3 linked regions of the Daphnia pulex genome follow. The protein of the gene in region 3 purifies or fractionates together with the protein of the main gene of each other region. This does not show direct contact. Links are inferred from orthologs where the notes say so. Each region holds a gene or a part of one and is shown on either strand. Other genes may lie near its edges. The genes, in order: uncharacterized protein LOC124188642, growth factor receptor-bound protein 2 and epidermal growth factor receptor-like.

Evidence for each region.
Region 1: the proteins of epidermal growth factor receptor-like (region 3) and uncharacterized protein LOC124188642 purify together in Drosophila melanogaster (affinity purification with western blotting; 5 studies listed by BioGRID). This does not show direct contact. The link is inferred for Daphnia pulex from reciprocal best matches to the Drosophila melanogaster genes Egfr and kek1.
Region 2: the proteins of epidermal growth factor receptor-like (region 3) and growth factor receptor-bound protein 2 purify together in Drosophila melanogaster (affinity purification with western blotting; 4 studies listed by BioGRID, with this or other methods). This does not show direct contact. The link is inferred for Daphnia pulex from reciprocal best matches to the Drosophila melanogaster genes Egfr and drk.

The regions. Positions count from the first base shown.
Region 1 is NC_060018.1:5,469,892-5,474,002, reverse strand, and holds the start of uncharacterized protein LOC124188642, read right to left. Parts: upstream 2,899-4,111; 5' UTR 1,408-2,898; coding exon 1-1,407.
Region 2 is NC_060028.1:9,115,122-9,119,298, forward strand, and holds the start of growth factor receptor-bound protein 2, read right to left. Parts: upstream 2,904-4,177; 5' UTR 2,508-2,903; coding exon 2,430-2,507; intron 2,343-2,429; coding exon 2,245-2,342; intron 2,174-2,244; coding exon 2,054-2,173; intron 869-2,053; coding exon 703-868; intron 626-702; coding exon 452-625; 3' UTR 1-451. Other genes in the region: protein brambleberry-like, read left to right, coding at 3,295-3,603, 3,677-3,805, 3,868-4,053, 4,112-4,177.
Region 3 is NC_060021.1:730,403-734,471, forward strand, and holds the start of epidermal growth factor receptor-like, read right to left. Parts: upstream 2,844-4,069; 5' UTR 2,585-2,843; intron 1-2,584. UniProt on the Drosophila melanogaster protein: Receptor tyrosine kinase, binding ligands of the EGF family and activating several signaling cascades to convert extracellular cues into appropriate cellular responses. Known ligands include spitz, gurken, vein and giant-lens.

The sequences.
Region 1 (4,111 bases), on a different chromosome or scaffold from region 3:
ACCGTTGTTGTCTTCCAGTTTGTTGGCCGATGAGCCGCCAGAGTTTGCCGAACTCCTCGTGCGGATGAGCATCAGAAGGAGGATGGCCACGACGGCGGCCAACAGGATGAAGAGGCCGGCTCCCAGTCCGGCTATTTGGGCGCCTCCCAGTCCGCCGACGACGGGCGCTTGGACGTCGACTCTGAGCGTCAGGTTGACTCTGGCCAGTCCGGCGGCGTTGGCGGCCACGCAAACGAATTCGCCGCTGTCGGTTTCTCTGGCCGGACTCAGGATGAGATAACTGGTCTTTTCGTACTTGCCCTCCTCGAGGATGATGACGGTCCGTGTCTCGTCGGACGGATATCCGTCGCCTTCGGCAGTTTCTCCGACAGGTAGCGCTTCCGGTTCGCCAGGAATGCTTCCGTTGGCCATGGGACGGCCGCGCCACAACCAAGTGATTTCCGGCGAAGGAACGCCGCTCATCCGGCACGTCAAAGTGGCATTCTCGCCGGCCGAGGCTTCGACGTGCAGGTGCGGATGTCCGCCGCCGGCCAGCAGCGGAGCAGCTGGAAACGGAATCACTTGAGGGGCGCATGCAAAGTCGTCGACTTGGAGTTCGATGAGGGCCCGGCCGGCCAGCCTTTCGGGCAGGGCGCAGGCGGCCGTGGCCGGGCTGGGCACGTTGTGCTGCTGGAGCCACTCGCGCAAGTAGCGGAGTCTGCAGTCGCAAATCCAAAAATTGTTTTGCAATTCAAGTCCGTGCAGTCGACTGGGCAGCGAGGAGACGACGTCCGGTCTGAGCTCTTGCAGTCGATTGCCTCCCAGTCGCAGATGGGAGAGCTGGTCGAGTCCGTCGAATGCACCGGCCGCGAGCGTCTCGATCTGACAGTCGGACAGGTCGAGTTTGACCAGTCCAGGGGCCTGGTCGAAAGCGCCCTGCTCAATCTTCTGGATGGGATTGGAACTGAGTCTGAGCTCGCGCAATGAAACGGCATCGCGCAACGCCTCGCTGGGCACGTCCGTCAGCAAATTGTCGCTGATGTCGAGCTCAATTAGGTTGGTGAGTCCGCGCAGGGCCGTCGGGTCCACCTGGCCGATCCGACAGGAGGCCAAATAGATTTTCTGCAAGTTGAGGAGATTGGCCCTGGAGAAGGCCTCGCGCGGCAGGGTCTGCAGGTTGCTGCCGGACAGGTCCAGCACTTGAGTTTGCGGATCAATGTTGGACGGCAGGGTGATGAGACCGCGCTGGCGGCACTCGACCGTCTGCTTGCCGCCCTTCCACTTGACGCCCGGGCAGGCTCCGGCACCTCCGGCGGCCGACATGACCACCATCCATGTCGCACACAGCACCAAGATGGCATTCCATCTCTCGACTCCCATCATAATAGTCCACGTGCTGCTTCGGCTTCTGCTTTTGCTGCTGGCCATGATATTTTTAGCTTTTTTAATTTCCTCCCTTCTTCTTCTTCTTCTCAGCTTTTCCCTTTTTTATTTATTGGGTTGCGCCGGAGCAGACAGAAGAGGAGACCTTGTCTCGAGTGCCTTAGATATTTTTGCCCTTTTAGTAAAAAGGAAAAAAATAAAAAAATATCTACCACCAGGAAATGGAGGGTACGTCTTGCGTTATCAACCGCAGTCCATCAGGGATCTCTCTCTCTCTCCCCCTTTTTGGGGGAAATAAAAATCTAACACACAGAGAGAGAGAGAAGCTTGAAATGAGATTGAGGGGTAGTAGTGGGCGGTGTGTCGACTCGCTTAAAATGGGGGAGAGATAGTCGCAGTCAAAAGGAGAGAGAAAAAAAGAGACTTCGGACGATGATATTAAACAGAGACACTTGAACCACCACCCTCGAGTCTGAGCGAATCGATGACGACACTTGACAATTGCAGCATTGGGGTGACTTTGCTGCCTCCTCTTTCTTTTCTTTCTTTCTTCTTTTTTTGAGATTTTATTTTGAGATTTTGTTGTGTGTGTGTGTCTGGAAATGTATTTCTCGCCACTTGTGAAAATGTCCGGACGTCGGTTTTGTTTCGTTTCGTTTCTTCTCACACAGCCGAAGCGAAACAACAAGAGGGAGACAGTGTGCGCTGTTAAAAAAGAGTACACGAGCCCTAAAGAGTCAAGGCTTTTGAGGATCGAGTGCAGAGGTGAAAGGTGGGCAAAAGTTTTCCTTTGGGTTATTCCTTCCTGTTGTGTGTCTGTGTGTGTGCGCGTCTCCTCCTCTTGCGTGTATATCCAGACGCGACGACAAACGTCTCGAGCGGAAATCAACTTCTTCTTCTTCTTCTCACAACGAGCACAAACACAGAGACACACATTCACTGGCGCACACAAACACTCGTGAGTCGGGAAAGAAAAAAAAATTGGAGGGGGGCTGCTGCCGAATTCTTTTTCTTTGATTCTCAGTCGCCCTGTGCTCTCTCTAGTACTTCATTACGACGCTCGTCGTAGCCGAAAGAAGAAGAGAAACGGCCTCGAGGGAGCGACAGGAAGTTGAAGAAGAAGAAGCACCAAATAATAATAACAACGTCGTCTCAACGGGGGGAGGAAAGAAAAAAAGAAAAAAGGAAAATGGGTAACTTCACTGGCAGATGTCCGTCAACCGACGCCAATAGATTTCGGCCGTCGTCGAGCGTGTCAGTCAATGTGTCGCACTTGTTCGCGGTCGATTTCACTCAAGTGAATCGACTGAATTTGTGAATTTTTAACCAAAAACTTTTTTGTCTTTTTTCTTTCGATCGGGTTTTTGAAAAATAAACTGCGGGGTAGAGGGGGGAGTAAGTGATGGGCGTCAAACAAACTGGAGTGTCTTGTGCGTTGGGTGTAGCACTTTTGGGCTACGTGAAAATCGTAGCGGAAGCTCATCCGCAGTCGGTGAGCAGCGAGCGCGGAGACGAGACTGATGTTGCACTAGGATCGGCAGGTTCCTTTTCCCCTCCACAAAAGCCCCCCCACACGCTAAGGACCACCTCCTTTTTCCGAGCCTCCTCCTCCCCAATTTAACCCAACCGACGCTGCAGCTGCGGTGGCCGCTCGTTCCGGAGGGCAGCCCATGGCACAGCAGCAGCGTCGTCATCTCGTTTTGCTGTGCACTAATGTTCGCTTGACGTTCGTTCAGTTTTTTTCTTCTCTGCTCATATCCTTCCTTTCTCTTTTTAGATTTTTCTTTCTTCCCTTTACTCCTTTTTTTCGGGGTTGTTGTGTGTACTGTGATTATTGTTATTATTACTATTATTCCGTTCCTTTTGACTTGGTTCTTCTTCTGCTTCTTCTTCTTCTTCGGGTCTTCGTGCGTTCGCATCCGGCCCAGCCCTCCCCCCGCCATTATCTTTCCTCGACTTTTGCGAGTCTGAAAAGCAGCTCGGAAGGTGTACACTGGCGCGGTGTGTAGTCGACAAGGAACCGGCAAAGACAAAAGATTGTTTAGCTTCTATTATTCCTCGAGCTATATACCCCCAACTACATTCTACACAAAGTCTAAGAAGAAGAAAACAAAAAACCAACAAAACCAAAAATAAAATAAAGACGTGGTTTTTGTTTTGATCTCCTTTTATGTGTGCGTTTGTCCTGCTGCACACATGTACGTATACTACTACTCCCGGTCGTCCTAGTCATCGTCCTTATTTTTTCCGGGGTGGTCGGGAATGCCCTTATGTTGGTGGCCCAACTTTTAGATTTTATATGAAAAAAGAAGAACGAAAAAGAAAAAGAATAGGGAAATCCTTTGCCAACAATGGATACGGGGGGGGGGGCTTTGCGTATACGTCCGCAACTCGGTTCATTATCTGCATCGGCTTTTTTTCTTTTGGCATTGAGATGGACAAAAAAATACATAACATACCAAAAACACACAACATACACAGAGTCCCGGCCGCCGTGTGTGTGCATTTGACGTTATGACTGGAACACATGCGTCAGAACCATTGCCAATCGCGGAGTTTCCCTTGGTTACAACTTACAACGACTTCGAAAACTGTAAATCCATTCCCTTTACTTCTCCCCCCCCCCCTCCAACCTTCCTTGATTATAGAAATTAACATTCCAATTTCACGCGGTGGCCACCGAAATTGCGTCTCATTTTTTTCCCTCTTCTGTCAATGTTGCGGTGGATGGTTTTTTTTTTTAGAGAGA
Region 2 (4,177 bases), on a different chromosome or scaffold from region 3:
TGACGGGCAAACTTAATAGCCCAGTAATTGTTGTCGACGTTATGGATAAGTTAACTTATCTTTCCGCAATCAAAACCACACAAATTGCTCCAACATGACTATTCGACCAAAGCCACATCTAATGGCAATCCCGAAAGCTGTGTGCTTGAGGGGAAATACAGTCGAAAATCGAGGTTAGAACAACATAAACGGAAAAAAACTGAAAAGAAAGCAATTTTACAAACTGCTTTCAATGAGAAATGAGATGCAATCCTGTCAATCCTAGCTGTTCATCACTTTTACTGTTTTGTTATCAAAGTTAGTAATGTGTTTAGGTTCGAAGTCGGCAAAAATAACTTGAGTCTTAAGAACGGACGCACCACTTTAATACAAAAAGAAAAAAAAAATGAAGAAAAATTTATGAAGAAAAGAAAAGGAGCAAAAGAAAACGAACGAACAGTGCCTTCGCCTTTTAAGTATGATACGGGGCAACGTAAGTGGCAGGAAAGAGGCCGCGGCGGGCGCCAATTTCTCCAGTCCACCAATGTTGATCAGAACGGTCTGTCACAGTTATGACGTCGCCTCGCTTAAATTCCAATTCACCTGGTTCTTGCGGGGTGAAATCGTATAGTGCCTGCACCAAGAACTGTCGAAAATTCACACAACAATTGTTAGTCAATCCTGAGCCTAAAGGCATGGAAAAAAGAACAACTGGTAACTCACCTCTTCAGGCACCATGTCTCGTAACTTTATATCCTGAGACCGAGAAACAGATGTGGAGCGATGGTAGTCGACCAGTTCGTTGAGCGAGTTGAATTTTACCACCCACAAAAAGAACTTCCCTTGGGCATCGCGAAGTACTTTGAAGTGCTGGACACCATCGCCACATCTGCGAGACAAGAAAGAAAAAATAGAGAATAGCCTATTAACACAGAATGCACGTAACAAAGTATTGTGTAAATTTCAAACTAATTTCGAACTACAAGGAAGTAGGATGATGGCTTCCTTAGCTATAAACAAAACACACTCATCCTACAACTTAACGGGCAAAAACCTCAAGAAGGAATAAATAACACAGCAGGGCGATGAGAGAATTGTAAAAACTAAAAATGATGCAAAACTCCGGTTCAAGGCACATATATAGTTGCTTGATTACGGACGGTGGCTCAGTGGTAAGGGAACTTGACGAAAAGGCCTAACAGATAGAAAACAGAATGTACCCTAGACACGCCTAACAAGGCTAATAAAATACCAAAAAGGATAAAACTAATTACTGAAAACAGTAGGACTGACGGTTCATGAATCACGAGTCACGACTTAAGCAAAGGGTAGTCACTGCACGAGTTCCAATTTTACAAGCTGTCTTTGTTTTTTTAAGGTAAAACAAAATAGACAATTGAGATTCATTCCACCTTTGAAGTGAATAAAATTGGAATGTAAACGGATGTGTGCGTCATCAGGTTGACTCATGCACTGCATTTGGAAAGAATTCTTGCGTGATCAAATCAAATTTCTACAGAAAACCAAATACCCATGATTCTTTGAGGGAAATAGAAATAAACTGTACGTTCGGTTCATTAATTTTCTATTCAAACGCGTCTTCCTAGTAAGGTAGAACTTGTATCGTACAGTTTGGAGAGCGAGATTATAAGATATTTGATTTTACACTGATGAAAGCCTGCATGTTTGAAATTCTTTTCACGCTTCAAATGTACGTGTAGCGTCTAATCAGGATATCTGAATGCAAAGCGATATTTCTCAATATGTTTTTATAATGTGCTATTTCTACATAAATATTTTGAGAAATCTTCCCGTTTTAGGCAGTTAACGACTTACAAGCTTAGTTAATAGATGTCAACTTATCTCATTCAGATGTTCTAATGATAAGTAGTCTGGTATGCCACAAATAGATTTCAACAACATTTGAGAATAGGCAAATAATAACATCAAACATAGTAGAAGAATTCCTATGGGGCATTTCTAAACTATCTAGAGCTCTTGGTTAAGGATTTACACTGTCTATGTTTCTAAACAAAATCTATCACATTGTTATTTTAAGAACTAGATAACATACTTAACAGACAGGGAAAAGTCTCCCGGTGAGCTCTCACTGACTCTAACAACAAAAGCGCCTTCATGTTTGTTGCCCAAGAGTTTCTCTGCATCAGCTCTGGTTATTCTTCCATAGTACCAACTGTAGAAAATAAAACAACAAGTTATAATCAATATGCATTATTTTATCATAAACATTTCAACTAGGCTTACTCATGATTTTTCATTTCAATGTAGTTACTAGGAATCAACCCTTCTTTTCCATCCAATTCTGCTCTATACCAATTCAGATCATCTTCCATATTCAGAATCTACATTTGAATCAAATGAACAGGTTAGAATATTGCTATAAGCAAAAATTCCTTAAATTCTGTTGAAAGCATCATTGCTTGGTTTACCTTGAGAACTTGCCCTTTTCGAAAACTAAGCTCATCTTCAGCAGTGGCATTAAAGTCATGTTTAGAATTGGCCTCCATCTCGAAAATAACACGTTTTATGAAATCACAGATGATAAAGTATTTCTTGGCAAAACAAGCTTCAGAGAAGGAATTTCCTTTTCAAGGCTAGGCCGGATGTGCACCACGGCTACGTTTATCAAGTGAAACGGTTGTTGGCCAATCACCAAAATGTTTTGACTTCGTTCAAAGTCGAATTACACTTCTCGAAACTCAAAAACGAATAGCATTTCCCACAAATTGTTTGACAATATTGACTATCAACTGACGTATCCGTATCCACGATTGTTTGATTAACTATACACTGTTTTCGGGGCCCGACGAAAGCCAGACAGCCATAATTTTGGGAAACAACTTAGTTCTTGGCTTTGACGCACGAGCGTCACCAGTCCTTTTCTCCCAATGGAATTTTAAAGGTAAATGCTTGCGTGCCTGTAAACGTTTTTTATTTTTTCTAACTATTTTTTTTCCAAATGACTGAAATTATTTAAAATATTATTTCAATTACAGGAATATACATTTTTTATAATACAACATAATAGATGAATATTTTAAGATTTTAAATATTTAAATTTCCGTCGAATTCTTTTGGAAAAAGCAATGTGGCAACGTTATCTGCCTCATTTGAATAAATGCAAATGGTTTTCAAAAGGAATCTCGACCCAGAGATTCAGACCAGTCCGGACTTGAATTTAGAAAAGCAACGTGCAGTTCCTTTTGACTAATTTTATCGACCAAACCCTCTTACAATCTTATACAATTATTGTCAGATGATTTTCTCTTATATTGCACTGTGATTATTACAAAAATGAAGATAACTTTATATTTAGTGGCCATAATTCTCCTAGGAACTGGTAGTCATTCTAGTTTAGTAGGTTGGATTTTAGGCAGAGACAGCTCCCCTTTTAACATTTTGAGTAGTGAAAAACAATTTGATAAGCTTATGGCTGTAGCAAAAGAAGATGATAAGATTGAAGTTTCTGAACCTGATGAGAGTGCTGTGCAAGCAAGGTCTGATATTCCATTTGAGCTGTCTGTAGCTGATGAAAAATTCATTGCCGATGCACAGAAATATACTGACCTTAGTCTGAGCGAGCTGGATGTTTGCCAGCATAAAGTAAGTAAAGTACTTTGATGTTGATTCAAAGTACAATCTCACTGTTCATTAATATTAATGAACTCGTTTATAGTTAATCCTTCAATTGAAGCAAGACTGCAATGATCTCTCAGAGGAAGATTTGTCTAAGTTGGGTGTGAATCTTTTAAACTGCCAATCAAGATTGGAAGGGCGGAGAGTCTACCCATGCTCCTCTTCAATGGCAAGTTTTCTAATTAATGTATCACTTCAGCTAGTTGTAGCTAACCAGTTTATATTTTTTAGACTTTAAGGGAATGTACTTCTGACATGGATTCCGACACCTGGAATGCCTACCATATTCTATCCAATAGAGCAAGATCAGTGTGCTACGGTGCCCGCCAACAACAGTTTAGAGCACTGACTCAAATGACAGTCAACAAACTCATGGCCAGTTCTAGTCAACAATTGGGATTCATTAGAGAGCTCAAGGTTGGTTTCTTTATTGATTTTCATCACAACTGTATTGTATCTTTTTTTTTCCTCACAGGCTGAGCAAGAGGAACTTGGATCTTTGGCTGCTGATACTTTAACTTCTTTGACCAAAGGTCAAGAA
Region 3 (4,069 bases):
ACATTTTTCCTTTGAGGGGGCAGAAAAAAAAACAGCTGGACACAGTGATTACATGTACACCAAGTAGTTGTGTGAGCTGGGCCAACAACAAGAGAAGCTAGGCGCCATGTTGCCCAGCAGCTGGGAAAATAAGAAGAAAATGGCCATCATCATTATTTTCCAATGTAAGATGACGACAAGGTCGTCGTACCTTCTTTTAAACTTGTTCTGTTTTTCATTTTTTTTTTCTGACGGCCAAGACATTTGGCCGGCCAGATGCAAATGAAGCCATTTGGGAAGAAAAGAGAGTGGAAGACCTGGCCATCTTTCTGATGATGATGATGAGGCTATGCTGGGACTTTTATATTTTATCTTATATAGTATATAGAGTTGGCCGGCTGTTGAGATTTTTATATGACGGGCCGGCAGCAGCTGAGACATTCCATCGGGCGGCTGCACGACCGCTGCTGCGGCCGTGAATTGAGCCCCCTGGACTTGTGTGTGTTGTACATCAAAGATACTCGATCCTCTCCTGTTGCTATACGAGGCCGCCGCCCGTCAGGGCCGTCTCTCTAAATTGCCGCCGCCAACGATATGACGGGCCAATGAGTGAGGCCCTGCAGCATCAGGAGCCAAAAGAAAGAAACGTGTGATGTTTACGATCCCGGCGGACTCTATACAAAATATAAGAAGCTGGGCAAGAAAAAGAAAAACATTGTCCGTTTCTCTCTTGATGAGGTACCGTCGTGAGCCAGCGGATGACGGACCTTATACGGATGATTGGAATCCCCTCCCAGTCGAATTCCTACGACGATTTAGACATTCGGGAAACAAAAAACGGACAGGTGCTGGCGATAGTTTTAAAAGAAATGCCGGGCAAAAGAATCTCTCAACGGGTTGACATGGTGACGGATGCTTCTCTCTCTCTTCTATCCATTCTCTGATGTAATGTCTAACAAATGAGCGACGATTTATATTGTCTCCTTCTACCGTTTGTGTGGCTCTGGGCTTTTTTCCCTGTCTTATCTTGTCGCCCAGTCATTGGTATTCCAGGCCAGCGTTCAGCTTCTTTTCTTCTACTTGATCTCTACATCAAGTCTGGGCTATTTCTCTAAACACACGTCTCAATCCAAACGCAATTCTATTCCATCCGTTTGATACTAAGAAGATGGAAATTTTATTTAAAAAAGAGCCGGACATTGTGTGAGATATATTTCCGACATTTCCGTTTTAAAAATGGGAATAAAAAAGATGAAAACAATCGGACGAGACAGAGACAAAGGGCCATCTGTCAACCCCCTCTGGTCAAATAAAAATAAAAATAAATAAAATGTTATTTTTGTTTTTTGTTTTTTTGGCCCAGCTGCTGCCCGTCTTGATGATGATATTAAGTCGCAGGTAGTTACGACAGCAGCGGGTGACTTGTAGTAGTAGTAGACGAGTCCCTTTTTATTTATATAAACATGGCCCGTCTCGTCCTGGATGGACCCAACCAAAAAATATCTAATCCTAATAGGGGAAAATGGCTGGCCCTTCGTCGCCCGTCGTCGCCACGGTGAAAAATGAGCGGGACGTGAGGCGAATTTCCAATCACATCAAACGACAACAAACAACAACCACAAACGAAAAAAATAAGAGAGTTGTCCGTCTGGACTCCCAATTAAGTGACATATTCCGTCTATAAGGGGTGGCTGGCCGGCCCAGTCAACTTATATTTTTCTCCCAGACGCGTTCAACTCTCTATTTTTTGTTGTTTGTAGAGTGACATGAATGCGCGGGCAGGGCCGTCTGACTCAGAGACAATCAATTTCAAAAGAGAAAAAAGAGAAAAAATATTTTTCCAGCCGAATTTGGAAAGCCTATTCGTCTGCCCAGCAAAGATATGATGAGATGGTTGCCAAGTATTTTCTTTTTTTCGCTGTCATTACGTACACAGACGGACCAAAAGGCAACACACACACTGAGCTGCTGTGAGAGCTGAGCAGGTGAATATTTTATTTTTTTTCTTCTTTCCCGCTAAGTCACGGCGAACGCGCCCTCCTTCACGAAAAGAGCCAGAAGCGCAGATGAGTCAGCAGCAGCTCGGCCGGCCCTCCACCACAAGGAGGAATGTATATATGTTTCTTCTTCTTGTTTAATTCTGCCATGGCACCAAACGCATCACAGTTCAGACGGGCCGAGATAAATTGAACTGCGAGAGAATCTGACTGGAGAATCTCTCTCGTCCACTTGGCTTAGTTTCATGGCCGTCTCTAACCTAATACCTAGCTAGCTAGATAGCTAGGAGAATCATTACCTCGTAAACATTTTTTTTCCAGCCCAGCTCAAACAGACTTTCTCGCCCAGTTGAAATTCATTTGATTTCCTCCCCAAAGCTCAAACGAAATGAATTTCACACGACCTTTTCGGCTGCCCATCAATCTGTTTGCTGGACATATTTTATCTATTTTTTTGTGTGACGACGGCCAAGGTCGATCCTGCCCGTCTATCACACCTGTTGAGCTTCTCTAATCCCAACCGATCTTAATAAATTAAATTGTGTCCGTCGAGCCATTGATCAAATTCAAATTTAGCGCCATCGAAAAATCAAACCAAAAAATCTCACCTGTTGGCTCCTAACTCTTCCTCCTACCGCTGTTAAATAATCCAACCGAATTTCAATTTAATCCAAGCCTCCCACACTATTTAGTCTTCACTTTAAACTAAAAAAATGAACTTGTTCACTATAGACACAATCTGTTGAGGCATCCAACCACACACACACACAGGTGAGAAGACACACACAACACCAAAATTTAAAAAATGTTATTTATATGTGAGAGTCGGTAAGACGACGTCCTCGACACACGGACAACAAACTCGAGACTGAAGTTGAGAAAAAGCCAGTCGCTCATTTCCCCCCCACCACCACCTGAAAGAGAGAGAAGCCTCGTCTTACCTTTTTTCTACCTGTAGCTCTCCCTCCTTTTCTTATTTGCCCATTTTTTATTTCTACCTGTAGTTACAAGAGTCTGCCCTGGGGCCTTTTTTTATTTATTTTCTTCTTCTTCTTCTTCCATTCTTGTACATTTCCCCCCCTTTTTCCTTCTTCTTCTTCCTATTCTATTCGGCATTTTATTTTTTAAAAATAATCGAAATTGATCCGAGTCAATTCTGTTCACTTTATGCAGATCGACTCGTATTGCTCAAGAGTGTCCGATTGTTACGTGCAAAGGTGTGCTCAGCCTTGCGTCATCAGATAACACACCAAGTTATAAGACACTTGGGAGTCCCTTAACTTATTGTGCCGATCTATACCAGCAGTCGAATAAGGTTCGATAGCCATCGTCGTCTGCTGTAGTCATCAAACAGGTGAAAAAAAGGGCCTGGACATTTTCTTAAAATAAAATAAAAATAACACCCAGATTCCAAATAACATTCAAACGGGAAAAGAAGAAGAAAAAAGGTGAAAAAAGTCACAAGTCGGCGCTAATTTTCACGAACGTCTCGTCTATGTGTGCCTGGAAAAACCTGTGCAGCAGCTGAAAGAACTAACCAAAAGGTGAGAAAGGTATTAGATGTGATAAGAAAGAAAAGAATAATTTATCTTTTTCTTCAGAAAAGAGAAAAAAAATTAAAAAAATGGCTGCCGGCTATATAGACACACCGACAGGTAAACACATGGCAGATTTCTACATCTACTGGCGTCCTTCTCTATTTTCTATTTTTTCTCCCCCTTCCTCCATCCAGAGGCCTCCTGACTTCCAGGCGCCGCCATCTTGGAAAGCGCGCGCGAGCGGCTTGACTTTTCATCCCAATTTCCACCTTTTTCCTTTTTTACCTTCTTTGCCGTATATCTATTCAAATTGGTTAAAAAAAAAGGACAGGGGAGGGAGGGTTATTTTAAGTAGAGATCAAACACCGAGATATTTCCAACCCAAAAAGGTTGATATTTCTTGAAAGTTTGGTGGTGTGAGGCGACTGTCGCCAACCCTTTTAGCACAAAGTCCAGGATATATCTGTGAATATATAAAACTTGCCGGCTCTCTCTCTGATAAGATTCAAATGAAATAGGCCTCAATGTTGATGGTTTTAACAAAATAATAATAAA